4 linked regions of the Daphnia pulex genome follow. The protein of the gene in region 1 interacts with the protein of each later gene in a biochemical or structural test. Links are inferred from orthologs where the notes say so. Each region holds a gene or a part of one and is shown in the gene's direction. Other genes may lie near its edges.

Region 1 (4,534 bases):
CCCGTTCTATTGCTGCTGCTGTTGATCAATTCTGATTGGAACGTTAATCATTATACAGTACAGTACATTGCATTCTTCTGCTTGGCATTTTCCACCACCACCGCAGAAGTACGTAGGTGGGAAGGAAACAAAAAAACAAATGGAGTCTGTCGTCCGTCACGACTCACGGACCGTCGCCCCATTTTCCCGTTGGATGATTAATAACCTAAATATAGCCCGGCGTCGTCATGATCAAGACATTTGTCGACTCGCTTTACTAGATGTTCCTCTCGCCAATAATTTGAATCGTCGTCGAACGAACAATCGACTTGGCCCTCGGCCACCGCACATTCCGGCATCCATCAAAACAATTGCCATTCCGCGCGGCATTATTATCCCCTGATGATGCGATCCATCAGAAGATGTGACTTGGCCTTTGCACTTTTTTTCTCCGGACTGTCGAAAATCCCGATGGAATGTTGGTTACAAAAATCCGACTAGATAGTCCGAAATGCGCTTTTCCCGTTCAAGCGCCTTTTTTCGTTTTAAACGTTAAAGTTTGAGAATGAGATTATTAAATGAAGGAAACGAAGCGAAATGGAAATCTTTAGCACGCCACCGTGTTTCCTGCGCAACACAAAAAGTCTCATTTCTTAATTACCGTCGTCAAACTTGCTGTGGATATCCTCCTCCTCCTCATATCCCGTTGATATTTGAAAGGTGCGCACGACTGATTCCTCCCCCGTCAAGTTCGCTTACTGCTACTGCTACTACTACCCCCCGTAGTGTATACACCGTAATTCTGTACTTGTATACACACACACACGCGAAAGTGTGGGTGCACATGGAAAGTTTTTGTCTCTATGAAACTCTGGCTGTTGCTGCAACCCGTCGACGGAAACGGGAGAGAAGGAAGAAGAAGAAAACGACGTCTCTTTTTTCCTGTTGTTTTCTTCGCTCGAGTTTGGTAATTGGATAGCAGTCGGGACAAGAGTCGGGACCGGTTCAACGAATGAACGTCAATCGGGCGACGAGTACAGTTCTCCGGTTCAACGGATCGAATTAGTTTTCTTCTCGTGACATTTGGTGGGACGACTCTTCGTCTGGCGTCTTCCTTCACGCGAGTCGACGAATTTCGCTCGACAAACGAGTTTTGCGTTAACACAGTTTAGATCTGTGATTTCCTGTTTATTATTTTATTTGTGTATTGTGAGTAAATGTTCTTTTGTATGCACTGGGAATGCGAAATGATGCGCCCAGCTCGCATCGTCGGTCGCAGTCGGCCCGAAATAGATCACCGTACGTTGCAACCGACCAAGGCTCTTCCGATTCCCAAATACGTCCCGAACACAATGTGTGTGTTTTTTGTTATGTCGGCAGTTGGAAAAACAACATCTGAATCCTTCAATTCGGTCGAAAATAGACAAGCGTTTGCCTCGAGAGGTAATACAACAATTTCCCCCCTCGGTTTCTTTTACGTCAGCGAGTATTTTAAAACATTCTTTGAAAATTCAAATGCTAACAACTCGGCCCACATTGCGAGAGGGCAAACAAGTGAAAAATTGTTAAGATCTCTCTTTTTCCTCTTTGGCTGCTGCGGGCAAAATTTTATTTCGAAAAATAATAGCAAACATAGGCAACGTCGCTCGGGCGATCATACGATGTTTTTCTTCTGTCATTGGACGGCCAGGAACTGGCGTGATTTGAAGCTCCACCTCTTACTGTCTGCATGCTGCAATAGTTAACGTCGTTGACCGAATAGTACGCGCTACAAAACCTTTAGTATTTGTGTTTTCGTAAATTCCAGAATACAAAATCGTCAGTCTTCTTCTCGGTTTTCCAATCGAATACACGTCATGTTTTTTAGTAGGTGATTACCCACACACTGAAGACTGTTATTGTTGTTTCCTGCCATGGATACGTCAAATCGCGCCGATGATATGGATTTGGAATTGAACTTTCCTACTGATTTAGGAGGTAATAAAAAAAGTATCTTTTGATGTCTGTTGATAACAAATACTAAAACGTTTGTCCATCTATACAGAGTTGTTTCCTCATGAGGATTCCGAACTTATCGATTTGGCTGGAGAAGATTTGTTTTCATCTTTTGGCCCTGTCTCTCCACCAGTAAGTTTTTAAAAAGTTTTGAAATTTGTCTAATCATATTTGTTTTAATGTGATGTTTTGAACATTAAGGCTCACAACTTTCACCAACAGAAACCTGCCGTTCTCCATCCTCCTCCTGTGGCAACCCAACCTCCCATCATTCCAGTTTCTGTTGTCGAAGTTAAACCAATTCAACAAAGATTGATTCAGACAGTTCCAGTGACAAAAATTGTACCAACAATATCACCTCAGCCTGTATTGAAACAAGCTCCGATACAGACAAAAAGTGTCCCCCAACACATCCAGCCAGCCCAGACTGTATTGGTAAACAAAACCAATCCGCAGGGCACTGTTGGCACTCCTATTCGAGTGGATACAAATTCCCTGGGTGTCTTGATTCTTGGCAACACTTTTGGCTATAATAGTGTTGTCACTGTTCAACCAAATGGCGGTCTCGTCAACGTCAACCAATCTGCTGTTTTAGGATCAGCAAACATGTTTAATGGCAATTCTAATCCACCAAGCCCAACTCATGGGCCACCTGTCATTAAGAAGAGTTCCCACAATGCCATTGAAAGAAGATACAGAAACAGCATCAATGACAAGATACTGGAATTAAAAAACCTAATTGCTGGTGAAGAAGCTAAGGTGTGACTGGTTGTAACTCGACTGAAAGATTTTTTTATTTAATTTATCTTATTGTCCATAGATGAGCAAGTCTGCCATCCTTAGGAAAGCTCTGGAATATGTGCGCTACCTCCAGCAAATGAATCAAAAGCTAATCAAGGAAAATATGGCTCTAAAAATGGCATCTCAAAAGCAAACTGTCAATGGTTTATTGACAGCTTCGATGTAAATATACTTGTTTTATATTGTCGGTATAAAAGCTAAAGGTTTATCGTTCGAATGCAGGGATAGTCCTCCAATTGACATTACACCTCCAGGATCGCTGGAAAATTCGACGTCGGCCGAATCGCCACCCAGCAGTTTTGGTAGCGGATCTCCTTTAACTTATGCGGCTTCGGTAAGCGACAGATTTTAATTTTTTAAATTGATTGATGGTTTTAATTGCTTCAATTTCCGTGCAGTCTGACGACGAGTTTACCATTGACGGAAACATGGTATCGCCCGGAAACGTTATTGCTCAATCGATGCTGGATCGTTCGCGTATTGCCCTTTGCATGATGATGCTGGCCGTGTTCGCATTTAATCCGTTCGGCAAGTTCCTGTCGCATGCAGACTCTGCCGTCTCCCATTACAGCAAACCGTCCGGTCGTGTTATCCTGGAAGCTGGTAAACGTTTTGTTACTTGAATTGCTATCATGACATGCAATCAAAATGTATTCATTTGGTTTCAGATCCCCTCGATCTCGGAGATGATTCTGGATGGTTCCTCTCATTTGCCGCTGTTGGGATTAACATTTTGGTTTTCCTCTTTGTCCTCCTCCGCACTCTTGTTCATGGAGAGCCGTACATTGAACGCCAGAGCAAAGCGGCTTCGCTCTACTGGAGACAGAGGAAACAAGCTGATTGCGACATGAACAATGTAAAAGCTATTTAGGCTCGTTGTTTGTGGTCGGTATTCCCAAACTAAACTTTCCCCTCTCTGGTACTATTGTCTCGTTAAATTCAGGGAAACTACGTAACTGCAGCCACTCACTACCGACAAGCCCTTTGCGCCTTAGGTCGGACAGTGCCCGTATCTAAAGTCGATGTTGTGGCTAGCGTCGGATGGAATTGTTGGCGTCAGCTGTTGCATCGCTTCGGATTTACCCGCTTTCTCAGCGGCCGTGTTGGCAAACTTTTCCTGAATCGCGATGAACGCCGAGTGGCCCGTGAGTTTCTAGCGGAAGCCGCCCTTTGTTTTCACAAACTTCACCAGCTGCATCTTAGTCAGCAGGACGTCATTGATCCCAACAGCCACTACTGGTAATTCGATCTTTTGATTTTTGAGTTTAAATTGATAACAGAGAGATAAAAACTAACGATTGGACGGACTCGTGCCTGTGTGTATTTGTTATTTATTTGTTATTAATCTTTTTTAAGGTTCGAGCGCTATCGTGGCTTGGCTTTAGCCCTGTCTGCTACAAATCTCGGCGAAGCTGCCGGCCCTGCACTGAGTGCCATGTCCAAGGCGGATATTTACATTCATCTGGCGCTACGAACGAAACACTCGTTTAGTGGGCGAGGTTTCTTGTGCGCTCGCTTCTATTTAGCCCGCGCTCGCCAAATCTGTCAGGCTCTCAACGGCAACGCCCCTCCCCGTCTGCAGTGGCTCTGCAGTCCGGCCGGCTATCGTTTCTTCCTCAGTCATCATTGGGAGTACGACGATTTCCCCTCGACTTTGTTCACCTCTCTGGGCAACAAGTCTGATCCTTTGGCTTTTACCATGCAGGTTCGACATTTTTGTCAACAAGTTTTTTTTTCCTTTTTTCCTTATCATCAGTCG
Region 2 (4,393 bases), on another chromosome or scaffold:
CACACCGTTTCCGGTCTGTCTGTTAAGTATTGAGTGGTTCGCGTTGCTAGTAATATATCCCAATTCTTTAACAACTGCGATTGTCAAATAGGAAACCGTCTCAGAGGGACTCTGAATTTTTATAGTAACTAGACTAATTCCTCCCTCCAGCAAACGGTCCGTGACTGGAACTCTAGGCGCAAGCTTTGATGTTTATGGGCACTATCACGAAAAAACAGCCTGCGGCCTGCAGACTTCGAATTCGCCGCCTCCCAAAAGAAAATTTATTCTTCTATGTATTTGTGGTTTGTGTGGATGTCTATGTTGGCGTTCAATATTTGCTCAACCGAGCGAATCCTCAAAGCAATAGCAAGTTTGAATATATACCGGTAACCGCCAGTAACTGGTTTGCCTATACCAAGGTCGCAGGTGGGACGCAAGAACAGAGCAGCAGTTCACGCAGACATATGGTTCGAGCGTGAAGTAGAGTCGACCTTGGCAACAGATCGCGACATCAAATTCCTTGTTGGTCGTCGTTCCCGAACGATTTTCCTGGAGGTAAAAAATGCGTTGATTGCGAACGAAATCTCTTATTTGAGATCGAGAACTGGTTGTGAAAAATTGGAAACACCTTTTTTTGTTTCTTTCTTCCAGATTCTCAAAGTTTTCTTGAGAAGAAAAATCATTAAACGTGTGTTACAGCTGACATTTCGAAATTCTTCTCATCACGCCCTTGAAACTGCTGCTGCTGCGCTCGTATGCAGATGAAGTCGCGTGAAAGTTCGTGTTCAATGTCGAAGGGCCTTTTCAAATTTCTAGTTCTATTGGAGCTTTTTTGCACAAGTCCATGATGGGTATAAGATGTTACAGGATGACGAAATATCTTTAACGCTTGGGGTTAATTCATGCGTGATCGCAAATTTTTAAATTTCAGGCTTTTTTGACCGATAATTTATACGGTCTCAAAAAATGCCACAACAAGCTGAGCTTATTTCCCGAACGACATTTGAAGGATATAGCCTTTTACGTTGATAGTAGTATAATATCCTGGTATTTGTATGTAAAGATAAGAATTATTTTACACGGACGCAAGAAATGCTATTACAAGCGGAATTTTCCCGAACGACAGTTGAAGGATATAACCTTTTAAGTTCATGGTGGTATTATATCCTGGTATTTGTATGTATTATGTTTGTATATGTTTGTAAGATAAGAAGGAAATTATTCCTTCTTGGCAGTCATTTATCTGCGGGTTTCGTGTAAATATTGAATTTTTTTCTTGTCTGTGGTAGGGTTATTAGATCATTCTAAAATAATTCCGATCCCTTTAGCGGATGTCGAGTGCGGGTGGGAAAACCACTTTTATCGTATTTTGAGTGGGTGTTTTTTATATTTGTGGATTTTTTAAATAATTTATATCGATATTTTAAGAAATAAATGGCTAATTAGGAAGTTAGCGTCGTCTGCTGCTTTTGTTTTGTTTAGTTTCGAAATAAACGTGGTCGTGTCCACTCTGTGGTCACATCTCTTAGGCCTACTCTCTTTACAGAATCACTTCGTACACACGGCTGATTACCAGGTAAATAAAACTAAGAATACCTATAGAATGACTATAGAAACTGAATTTCGAAGAATTAAACCTTTTCCAAATTTTTTTAAATGTTAGTTCGTCCTGACCAGCATTTATCATTTAAGCCCCTCTGTCGATGCATGGCAGTTTGTTTGTTCACTATGTAACCTTTTCCTTAGTGCATATTTGAGGCCAGAGACAGCCATCAACAAGATATGATGTAACCATAGACCTGTCATCAGCAGCAATCTCAGCATCATCGCTTAGGTAATGATTTTCATTACACCTTACTTTTATTCGAGTGGTGTGTGACCTGCTAGATACTTTAATTGTGCAATGTAATGCAGGACTTGCAAAAATGCAGTGTATTACATGTAAACCGTCTGTTTATTAACAATCAAGTTTTACTCACTGTCTCATTTTAAACTATTCCTTGCTTGTTGTTTCTGCAGATATTTTTTCGTAACCCATTTCTTATTTTTTTAATTAGTTTAACAGCATCCCGTTTGGATTCTGGATTGAGAAACTATCGATGTTGGCCATGTTACGGGTCTCTTCTTCCCTTTTCTTTAAACGGCCTCGTGTATGCCCATGTGAGTGTGGGTGTATTCACGAGGCCGCCCTTTAATATCCTATTCAATTATTCTGCGGATGGATGGAGAGCACTTGTGGATGCCTGTCCCGCTGTCCGTATATTTCCCAGGCCTGAAGGTAGGAAAAATGTATTCCTATTCTTTATTTTTTGACTGTTTGTTGGTGTTAAATCGTGACATAGTAGCCTACGGAGTACGATTATTCCTGAGCTAGATGCGGTTAACTGGAGTAGGTTCTCTTGCGGTTTTTGTTTACTCACTATAACTCAGTAAGGGTTCATTTAGGCGAAGTTTTTGTTTACTCAGTAAGTAAGAGTTCATTAAATTTTAGTGTTGCAGAACGACTGCAGGTCAGACCCAGTTTTGTACCTTACAACTTTGTCTGTTGTTGGTTCACAAACCTCAAATAAAAAAATATTTGAACTTTAAACACTTCCAGCAAAGTGCAACTAGAATTTATTTTTTTTCCCAAGAGAAACCTGCTAGTTTTATCCAACAAATCCTGTTCGAGGAACCTTCCAGCATGACGGTTAAAGAAATTCGATGCACAACGCTGACGTCATTATTTTTCCCCGGTTTCGTTCGCCTCAGGAAAATTGCCTCCGTCAGCCACAATTTTTTTTTTATTCACTTGACGTCATCAACATTCATTGTTTGACGTCACACTTGTGCGTGAGTCGATGAGGGGCGCGCCAAAAACAATTAAGTGGTGGTTCTCTCAACGCCATTTCGCAACCACGGGTTTTTCCGGTCACGCTTATTGTCAATTTACCTCACACGTTGACACCCGCGTTATTGTCCTATTTTGAGTTGACAATTTTTTGTTCACATTGTTTCTCCTCTTCTTCGACGAAATTGTTCTCGGTAAAGTGACTTGCTAACTCGACATTTTACACTTTCACGTAAAACAACTTCAGGTGTTGTTTGGAAATAGGGCAGTATAAGTCGACTAATTTGCAAAGATACTATAATATATTGTTCACACAATAGAGATAGCGGATAGTCACACTTTTAGCAAATGTTGGCTAAACGCCTAAACCTATAATGATTGGCCTAATTTACCATTCCAGCACCGCCGCCTATTGTCAACCAGGCGGTGTACCATTCGTTCACAATGGGGAAAACATCTCGGCAGGTTTCACGACAATTTCTTTGATTTTATCTTCTAACTTTCTTCGAATTTGGGTTTCAGAATTTTCGAAAACAGTTAATTTATTGTATTTTTCCTTGTCGCCACATTTTTCTGCTTTGCTTTAATTGTACCGGTCATCAATCTTACAACAATACGACGTGTTGCAGCACATATGCGGCTCGGGAGATTCTACTTCCTCGAGTTCTTTGTGTCGGGATGTTGTCGTAGTGAATGAAGGCGAATAAAACTCCAAGGGCAAAAATCTTAAAAAGGAGTTTGGACTCTGTTAGGCACTTTGACACAGCGATAACCACCATATACGTAAATCTCATGACAAAGAAAAAGGTAGAACTCGATGAAAACCGGAAAAGGCGATGTGGCATTTGCTGAATATAGCTTTAAACTATTAACAAAAAAAACATCTTCCAGCCGACCGGTCTCAGACAAGTTTACATTAGCTTTTTCATTGACATTGACTTTAAAGGACCTTTGACACATTGCAGAGAAAACTAGGTGTGGCGTTTTGAAAATCGAAATATTGTACCGATTTGATTCACCGGATTCATTCGCAAATTAAATATTTAATCATTTTGTATCTTTTGCAAGCCGGAGCACTGCGAAATGCGAATACGAGGCTTAGAAAAATTAATTTGGCGTTCACACAAACACAGTTGCAATCGAAAGCAAATAAAGCATTGAAGGTGACCTTCGAAATAATGTTCGAATCGTTCGCGATGCGAATTTTTAAACACCTTTACAACATCCTCAAGCTTTCCGCTTTGAGGGCCGTCAGGTGAAGAATGATTTAGCATTCATTTCGGCGAGTGTCTATGTGCTTTAATAGCGTGATTCTCACATTGGATATCACGTAGGCACATTTCTGTTCGTCTGACTTGCCAGTCGAGTCATCGTGAAAGACAAATTTCCTTGCAGTTTTTATTTTGTATTCTTTGTTTGATTAATTAATGTCAGAAATAACGTTAATCATCTCCTTGTTCTTCAGAGTTATAAGGGGATTTTGGATTTTAATTTGAGAAAATATTTCCCGACATAAACTTTCTTATTTATCCATCCTTTATTTTTATATCTAGCCTAAAGGATGAGTCGCGCTCGGGGCTT
Region 3 (4,284 bases), on another chromosome or scaffold:
CCAATAATCTTTTAAAAAAACTATCTTTATGGATTCATTGACGTACGTCCGATGTGTAGATTTTTATATCGTTCACGTGTTGAGTCCATGTGCCTGTTTAACATTTCAAATAACATTTTCAATATAAAATAGTTTCAACATAAAACAGACCCAGTAAACCGTAGCGCATGTTGGTCTCGTTCGTCATTCACAATCGAACACTATCAAATGACGCAACGTATGTTCGTTAGCTGCAACGACGACTCCATTGTTTAAATAGGCGCGCCTAACCTCACACCTCTTCAATCCGGTGCTTCTGCACTTAAATGAACCGGTCAAAGACCAATTGCTGGTTTATTAAAAAATATATAGATTTCTCAATGCCCACACAAAATGTGCATCAAAGTTTCTTGGCAATTCAATGAGCGACCTATTTTCATGACTGGGGAAGCGACGATAATGCCCGATGAAAGAGCGAATTCAACATTCAACACAAGATCACCGAATGTTTTGTGCTGCGCTTACTAATGATCTTTTTGAAAAGTTAATGCTAATACGGTAGCAGCTATCACTCCGAATCCGAGAAATTTTGAATGTCATGGGGCAATAAACGGAATTGAATATTGTAACAATCAGAGAAAAACGAAAATTTGTTACAATTATATTATTAATGAGGACGAACCTTCAACTTTTAAAAAACCTGCGAGATATCGCGTAAGTAGCAGTTTGAATTTCTTATATCGAACGTTTATAATTCATCGCGAGTCATCTAGCGATAGCTAGAAAAAGCAAGATTCGGGCGCCCTTTAACACTGCGTAGCTGCTATAATGTGTACAAAAATATAGATACACAATTTAGTTGGATGAATACTTAACTGGCTATTGGTTGAATCGGGTTCAACTTTCGTCCAACCGTATGAGAGAACTAGAACTCAACATTACGCAGTAACGTTTTCAACAGAGTTGAAATGCTTGAGAAACAATTTGCACCAAAACTTCCATTGTTATTGAAATTGTGGCTTTAATTCAGTTGGATCTGTAAAGGGCTGATGGTATGAAGAGATTCAAGGGGGACATTTCAGGAGGGGGAACGATGAATAGCGATGATGATCCGTTGAAGTTTCAAGAACTGAACAGTTAGAAACTTAAAAAAAAATATGATATAATACTCTTTGATAGTAATGCAATACAAAAATATTATTAAGGGTGGGGGATGTATGTACAAAGAAAGGCGGGAAAGATGAAATGAGGTAGGCCCACGTATTGGCCTTTAAAAAACCGCCTAGCTTTGTTGTTTAAAAAAGGATAATAATTACCACTATAAATTCGATAGTAACACTGTAAACGTGTCAAGTGGGTTTTGCTACGAGATTCTAAGCGAAATAAAGAAAAAAGCGCATGTGATGACGACCACAGGGCGCGTCCAGCAACTGGGAAATGTTAACAAGCAATTTGGCAACGCTTTTTAGTCCAGCATATATCGTTGTCTGTCTCGGCTTCACCATTCGTGTGAAACAAAATTCTCTTTGATGCTGATCCTCGTGTACAAATTTTTTTCTATATTTACGCTCTTTGTGAAATCGAAATGCCCGAATCATTTTAGTGCTAGATTTTTTCTATTTTAAATCCTTTATTTGATTAAGTTGTTTTTGCCCACCCGTGCTTGCGGAATATTTTCAAAATCGCATTTTAAAGGTCTGCCCTTGTTCCCAAAACACTACACACTATCAAGCCCTCGCCCATATCATTAAAAAGATTCTACTTTTATTTTGATTGCACTTTTTGACTCGTAACGCCATTATAATTTTCGCTGCACTTTTCACTGGATTTTTATCGACGGTAAGTGTGAATCATTCTTGCTTTGTTTCATTATTGTTATAAAAAGAAACCTTTATTAACAACATTGAATCTTCTTTCTTGGCAGATGAGATGACTAGTGTTTAATTGAGGATATGAGTTGTTGTCTAGGCAGCTGTGTTTTGGTTTCCTAGTAATAGCTCAGCTTCTCAATCTCTAGCTTACGTAGCAGTCAGAAACCCAGCAGAAATAATTTATGCCAGCGTCCAGAGGACGGAGTAGTGGGAGGGGCATGGGCGACACTGCTAATGAAAGTCTAGCTCAGAGAAACCTGGTAGACATCAATGTGGCTACTGTTGAAGAGCTTTCCACCTTGGTTGGAGTTGGACGCAGCAGAGCTGAAGCCATTGTGGAAACCAGAAATGTAAGTTTAGGATTAACCCAACACCAGTGTGTTTTATATGGTTTTGACATGTGTTTTTCCTTTGTAGTCCCTTGGAGGATTTACATCCATCGAAGATCTAAGTCTGGCTCCAGGTGTGGGGACAAATTTGATTGAAGCCAATCGTCAGATACTAACAATATCAGTACCAGCTCAGTCGTCTCAGGTGAATGCAAGAAAAGCCAACACTCGGAGCAGGTAAATAGTGTTATACAATACTAAATTTATACCCCCTTCTCATGGTTTTGCTATTAGTGTAGGTATATTTCTTTATTGTTACTCTTATCTAAGCCTTTGTTCTTTGGATTAGGCAAAAATGCGTCATTTGATTCTAAACATGTTTTGTTGTTGCCCTAGAAGCAGTGATAATACAAGCGCTCAACCGACTCCGAGCACCACACCAGTGATATCTAGTTCAAGTGATAACGCGACAGAAGACCAGCAAAACGACAGTGGAAGTAGCAGCAGCAACGAATGGGGTGCTTGCCGTTTGAGGCAGCGCCGGTCAACAAGCAGAATAAATCCACTGCCCGTTGGCAAATCGCCTTCGCTTCGACAGACTCGGAGCAACGATAGCATCATTCAATCGCCTCCTCCTCTCCCCACAACACCTACATCATCGACACCTACTGCTCCTGCCAACGACGCCAGCAATGTATCCGTTAAAGAGGAATCACCCACCTCGGAGAATGATGACGTCGCCAGACCAGGAGCTGTAAGTTTATCCAACACTTATTTGTTATTAAGAACATGAATTTAATTAAGGTGGTGTGTTGTAGACCAAGCGCAAGTCGGAGTCGACAGCTGAGATGGCAGCTGAAGTAGCCACGGAGAAAAAAACATGTCGAAGGGGTGAAGGTGTTGATTCATCTTCCTCGTCAATCTACTGCCATGTTCACCGTAATCCGATTCCCTCGAAAGACAATCCTCCGCCAGGATTTTGCCAGTGGCTTCACACGTTCCAAGTATTTTTCGTCATTCTCTCAACCACTAACTCATTGCTAAGAAAAACCATTTGTTATCATTGCAGTACTGGTCGAACGCTGAGCGTTTATGTGCCATTGACCAACTGATAGAGCTGTGTGAACCCACTCAGGTCCGTCACATGATGGCTGTTATTGAACCACAGTTCCAACGCGATTTCATATCGCTGCTGCCCAAAGAACTGGCTCTGTATGTTCTCAGTTTCCTCACGCCTCGCGACTTGACTCGCGCCGCACAAACCTGCCGTTGTTGGAGAGTCTTGGCTGAAGATAATCTCCTCTGGCGAGAAAAATGTCGTGAAGCGGGTATCGATGACGTTCGTGATACTCTAAATAAGCGACGTCTTCGCGGATCTTCCCACCACTCATCTCTCAGTTGTGGTCTTTCTTCCCCCACCGGATCTAGCCAAAACAATGCACCAATTATTACTCCGTCACCCTGGAAGGTGAATAGATCAATCTGGCTTAAACGTTAATAGGTTGCAAGATAATATTGATTCGTTGCATTTTCAGGCGACTTATATGCGTCACCGAAATATTGAGTTGAATTGGCGAGTGAGGCCGATCCCACAGCCAAGGGTATTGAAAGGTCATGACGATCACGTCATCACCTGCTTACAGTTTTGCGGAAACCGCATCGTTTCGGGATCGGATGACAACACGCTCAAAGTCTGGTCGGCTACTACGGGAAAGGTAATTCATTGGGCTTTCTGCCTAGACAGGACAAAGACTTTAAAAACGCGAAATGTCTTAAGAACAGACAACCATTTAATTGTCATTTCACTCAACAGTGCATGAGGACTCTGCAGGGACATACGGGAGGCGTTTGGTCCTCTCAAATGCAGGGAAATATTATAGTCAGCGGGAGTACAGACAGAACCTTAAAAGTCTGGAACGCTGAGTCTGGACAGTGTTTGCACACATTATACGGCCACACCTCCACTGTCCGTTGCATGCATTTACACGGAAATAAGTCAGTCTTTTTATCAGATATTTGTAGCAAGCACTCTTACTAATTCAACTGTTTTCCTTGATCAAAAATGAATGTAGGGTGGTGAGCGGGTCACGGGATGCAACGTTACG
Region 4 (4,512 bases), on another chromosome or scaffold:
AGTCCGCGATTTCATCTGTAAACGTATTTGAAACCTGCTGCCGTTTTAACCAATCAAGAGGATGTAAAAGAAGCTGATTACATACAATAATGAAGATGAAAATGAATAGAACAGTCATGACGATGAGGGGAAACCAGACGAGAATAGCGTCGAGGGAGATGTAGTACACGAAAGAGAAGGAAGTGTTGTCGATGCACCAGGACTCCAATATATCCTTCCATTGTCGTTCCTGTGTGTTGAGTCAAATTGGCGGCGGCAGATGATATAACACCCTAAATAATTCTGATCAATTTAAAATGCTTCTTGGTCGTACTTTATAGACGCGGGCTGCGATGAGTGGAGAGGCGATGGCCGCTGAAAGGATCCAGATGACTCCGCAAATAATGTAGGCTGCCGATTGGCCCATCCGCGGGCGGAATGGAAATGCGATGGCAAAGAAACGATCAAAGCTTACGGCCAGCAAGCTGAAGACGTCCACCAACATCAGCATCACTTTTGATTTGAAATATATGAATTACTTGCCAGTTTTTTTTTTAAAATGAAGCTTTGAATTACCTCTTAAAAATCCCTCGGTTCGACAAATAACCTTCCCAAAAATGTAATGGAAATTATAATTATTTGATAATAAAACTGACTGGTTTTGAAACCTCTCCGAGAATGAACATCTGGTAGAGATCGATGATTAAAATTATCCACGGGATGAGTAGGATAGTTAAAAGATCGGCGATGGCCAAATTCCAAATGAAGATGTTGATGGAAGTGCGCAAAAATCGATTGGTGGCCATGAGGTAAACCACCAAACCGTTTCCAAGCAGACTGATGATAATGACAGGAACGAAGAATCCGATTTTCAAGGCGCACTCCCAGGTGGGACGGACAATCCACAAAGGAAATGGGAAGTTGACGTTTGAAAAATCCATTCCTGTGAAAGTCTGAAATTCGCACGAACGACTTGAGTTCGGTTATTACGTGTGGGAAAACAATGAATTCACTTACATTGAAAAAAGTAGTAATTCCTTGCTTGTCGGAAGGTAAATCCAGCAACTGAGCTCTGCTGTTGTTTATCAAGCCTGATCGTTCTCGACTGGAGTCAAGTACTTACCGGATCCCGCAGCACTAATAATCCTCACACACACTCAGCGCAATTGTTGTGACGCACGCTTTCAAACAAGAGCGGCCATATCGGGCGGCCCCGTGTGCTATGCCTATCAGATTTAATTAAGTTCGTCAAATCGCTAGACCATGTTTTACAACTTTTGGGGGTATAACGCACCGCGGGCCGGCTCACCCCTATGCGATTTGGTTTTATGGTCCACGAATATTATAAGTCAGTCAAACCTCGGGGTCGCTTCTCTAGTACAAATGCCATACGTGAATTATTTTCCCGATATCGCGTAACCTCATTCGTGATGTTTAGTACATCTTGAACTAATTTTTTTCTCAGTTTAATTTGGTGATACTGCATTTCTGATAAACCTCCTATTAAAAAAAAAATTATAATCAGCAGCTTTCCTCCTTATGCGAAAATCACAATGCCTTATCTGAACCGCAACGTGCGGAAAGTGGACTAAGGTTGATATAAAAGCTCGACAAGGAAAGGCCTTGAATTAATTCCCTTCCTATTTCATGTATACATGTCCTTGCGCATATTTTCTTCCGGTTTCGGGACGAATTCGATTCATACTGGCAACGCTGACCTGCCACCTGGCGGCCCGAAATTTGTGAAGAAGAAGAAGCGCCCTCTACCCCACGATCGACGGAAGACGAAGCAATGGCCGACGAACAAGGCGAGAACTTTCACAGTCCCGTAAAACGAAGCAGAACTTTGCTGCCGATTGACATCTCACAGTCCTTTATTGAGGGCCAACAGCTTTGTAAGTACCCGTTTGATCGATTTCATTCATTTAATGTACTTGTGAACCTAATCAAAATTGTTAGCAAAAGATTGCATTCGGTTTTGAGGTAAATGGCCTTTTGCTTCGTTAGTGCGGCCATTGGCGGATGGGGGGGGGGGAGGGGAGACGCCCTTCTTTTTGGTCGATTGCTGCGTTGCCAAAATTTTGGGGCGGCATGTTTGAATGTCATAACAGTGTGATGACACTTGTCAAATACTGTTTTGGTTTCTTGAGTTGAAATTTCTTGATGGCTGTAGAGTTGATCCATTGTGAGCTTACTTGAAATATTTTTTTTTTTTTTTTAAATTTCAGCAAATGATGCAGGACAACTAGGAAGCTGTGAAATGTTCAACGCTGGGGATTCAGGCTTCAGCGAGTTAACGTCTTTAGCCAGCAGCGAGGATGAAAATCTCACTAATGATTTACCATCTACCAGGTAATGTGGACTAATGTCTTCTTTTTATTGTGTACAAACATATGGTCTAACTTTATTATTTATTTATTTGTAGCTATGCTTTGCCAGCCATTCAAGATGCTGATGATTCAATGGGCAATTTGGAGAAAGATGATGATACCTCCTCAGATAGTGATGTTTCAGACATAAGTGGGTTGAGTGACTTGAGCAATCATGACTGGGAGCCATCATCAGGGACGATGTCTTGGGTGCAACAACAGATGCTTCTTGGTACCAATCCTCGAACCATCCTGAATGAGTTGGTACCAAATGATGCTCAAATCCCCACCCATCTTGACGATGTCACCCTTTGGAAGGTAAAATTATAAATTTGTAGCATTGTCAAGGCAACTAATCATAATTATTGAATAAAACAGATAATCGTGAATATTGTCAGTGAACCTCCAAGGCGGGAACGTTTACGCCACATAAATGCAATATCCGATGCCGTCAGATTACTCCGTAGCTGTAAAAAGATTCTAGTTCTTACAGGAGCAGGGGTAATTTTTTTTTTTTTTTTTATAAAATAATTTACCTCATTATATTTGAACAAATTTTGTTTAGGTTTCTGTTTCCTGTGGTATTCCCGACTTTCGTAGCCGTGATGGAATTTACGCTCGCTTAGCCGTCGACTTCCCTGACTTGCCCGATCCTCAAGCTATGTTTGATATCCATTACTTCCGAAAAGATCCCCGACCGTTCTTTAAATTCGCCCGAGACCTTTGGCCAGGACAGTTTACACCTTCTAAATGCCACAAGTAAACAAATTCTCTTGACAATTTTGAAATTTCGCTAATGAAACGATATTTTGTTTAGGTTCATTCGTTTGCTAGAGAAACAAAACAAGCTTTTGCGCAACTACACGCAAAACATAGATACACTAGAACAACAAGCAGATATCGAAAGGGTTATCCAATGTCATGGCTCGTTTGCTACTGCCACTTGCCTGCGCTGCCAACATCGCGTCCCCTCGAACGAGATAGAAAAAGACATAATGGAACAACGCATTCCACTTTGTCCGAAATGCTCGGATGTGTCGAAAAATGAAGACGAGGCCAGTACATCGTCGTCGGTGGCATTATCGGCCCAGCCGATCATGAAGCCTGACATTGTTTTCTTTGGAGAAGGAATGCCAGACGAATTTCACCGCGCTATGGTACTCGATAAAGAAGAATGTGACCTGATAATCGTGATTGGGTCATCGCTCAAAGTCCGCCCTGTCGCACTCATCCCATGTAAGTTATTTTAAATGTCATCTTGTAACCTTAAAGTTCATATGCAATAAGTTTCTCTTGATTCAAATAGGCGCCCTACCGAATCATGTTCCGCAAATTCTTATCAATCGCGAACCTCTCCGCCACATGGTCTTTGATGTTGAACTGCTTGGGGACTGCGATATTATCGTCAACCAACTGTGTCATTTGTTAGTATACAGTAATTTTCATCAGCCAAATTTGTTGTCTCATCAATCTTCTTGTAACAATCAGACTGGGTACACAATGGAAAGATGACATTTGTTACCGCGAACCTCTAACAGAGATCAGTCGCCTACCACCACGCCCCACTCCTTCTGTCGCCGTACCTGCACCCATTTTCCCCAAAAGAGATCAAGACGATCCTTTACGCCGGGACAGTGGGATGTCTACAGGAAGCTTAGAAATGGAATCAGCCGAGTCTGGTGATGTTGAACCAGTTACTCATGACATGACCGGATGGTGGGAGCCGCGAATCAAAGTGAATCTTGCCGATCAACTCCCAGGTAATTTATTTTTGTTCGGTTGTTGTCTATGTCATCTATATGCATTTCCTTGCATAAAATTCAGAAAACACTTATCTCACCGTCCAACCTGGTCGATACCTGTTTCCTGGTGCTGAACTCTTCTATGACCCAGACGAAGAGGTAGAGTCCGATTCTGACTCATCCTCTGATTCCAGCGATTCGTCTGGAATTGATGGAGGAGATTCAACTCAACCTTTCCCGGAGCATGGAGTAAAAAGGAAAGCGATGGATTGACGACGTATTCCGAAGCAACGACAAAGCTTCTGTTTTTACCATTGTTATGTTAACAATATGGATTCTATTTAAAAGCTTCAAGCGTGTGTATATAGACGAAATCTCTCGATGGTATTTAGTATTTCTTTTTTTTCCTGTATTATGGATAA

What was found.
Region 2: the proteins of sterol regulatory element-binding protein 1-like (region 1) and mediator of RNA polymerase II transcription subunit 23-like form a complex in vitro, tested with the Homo sapiens proteins (2 studies listed by BioGRID). The link is inferred for Daphnia pulex from reciprocal best matches to the Homo sapiens genes SREBF1 and MED23.
Region 3: the proteins of sterol regulatory element-binding protein 1-like (region 1) and F-box/WD repeat-containing protein 7-like form a complex in vitro, tested with the Homo sapiens proteins (3 studies listed by BioGRID, with this or other methods). The link is inferred for Daphnia pulex from reciprocal best matches to the Homo sapiens genes SREBF1 and FBXW7.
Region 4: of the proteins of sterol regulatory element-binding protein 1-like (region 1) and NAD-dependent protein deacetylase sirtuin-1-like, one has a biochemical effect on the other in vitro, tested with the Homo sapiens proteins (2 studies listed by BioGRID, with this or other methods). The link is inferred for Daphnia pulex from reciprocal best matches to the Homo sapiens genes SREBF1 and SIRT1.

Annotation. Positions count from the first base shown.
Region 1 is NC_060018.1:511,792-516,325, forward strand, and holds the start of sterol regulatory element-binding protein 1-like, read left to right. Parts: upstream 1-1,615; 5' UTR 1,616-1,740; exon of another isoform or gene 1,741-1,846; 5' UTR 1,847-1,892; coding exon 1,893-1,956; intron 1,957-2,023; coding exon 2,024-2,106; intron 2,107-2,175; coding exon 2,176-2,733; intron 2,734-2,794; coding exon 2,795-2,937; intron 2,938-2,997; coding exon 2,998-3,109; intron 3,110-3,173; coding exon 3,174-3,378; intron 3,379-3,443; coding exon 3,444-3,631; intron 3,632-3,718; coding exon 3,719-4,014; intron 4,015-4,131; coding exon 4,132-4,480; intron 4,481-4,534.
Region 2 is NC_060019.1:10,887,691-10,892,083, reverse strand, and holds the start of mediator of RNA polymerase II transcription subunit 23-like, read left to right. Parts: upstream 1-1,461; 5' UTR 1,462-1,558; intron 1,559-1,728; 5' UTR 1,729-1,816; intron 1,817-2,039; 5' UTR 2,040-2,260; intron 2,261-4,393. UniProt on the Homo sapiens protein: Required for transcriptional activation subsequent to the assembly of the pre-initiation complex. Component of the Mediator complex, a coactivator involved in the regulated transcription of nearly all RNA polymerase II-dependent genes.
Region 3 is NC_060019.1:12,535,856-12,540,139, forward strand, and holds the start of F-box/WD repeat-containing protein 7-like, read left to right. Parts: upstream 1-1,440; 5' UTR 1,441-1,818; intron 1,819-1,903; 5' UTR 1,904-2,032; coding exon 2,033-2,200; intron 2,201-2,267; coding exon 2,268-2,416; intron 2,417-2,575; coding exon 2,576-2,933; intron 2,934-2,997; coding exon 2,998-3,183; intron 3,184-3,248; coding exon 3,249-3,647; intron 3,648-3,714; coding exon 3,715-3,894; intron 3,895-3,992; coding exon 3,993-4,174; intron 4,175-4,251; coding exon 4,252-4,284. UniProt on the Homo sapiens protein: Substrate recognition component of a SCF (SKP1-CUL1-F-box protein) E3 ubiquitin-protein ligase complex which mediates the ubiquitination and subsequent proteasomal degradation of target proteins.
Region 4 is NC_060021.1:10,714,612-10,719,123, reverse strand, and holds the start of NAD-dependent protein deacetylase sirtuin-1-like, read left to right. Parts: upstream 1-1,685; 5' UTR 1,686-1,771; coding exon 1,772-1,874; intron 1,875-2,207; coding exon 2,208-2,331; intron 2,332-2,404; coding exon 2,405-2,666; intron 2,667-2,726; coding exon 2,727-2,849; intron 2,850-2,913; coding exon 2,914-3,107; intron 3,108-3,165; coding exon 3,166-3,584; intron 3,585-3,654; coding exon 3,655-3,772; intron 3,773-3,836; coding exon 3,837-4,108; intron 4,109-4,172; coding exon 4,173-4,363; 3' UTR 4,364-4,512. Other genes in the region: neuropeptide FF receptor 2-like, read right to left, coding at 1-15, 86-229, 314-492, 556-586, 648-920. UniProt on the Homo sapiens protein: NAD-dependent protein deacetylase that links transcriptional regulation directly to intracellular energetics and participates in the coordination of several separated cellular functions such as cell cycle, response to DNA damage, metabolism, apoptosis and autophagy.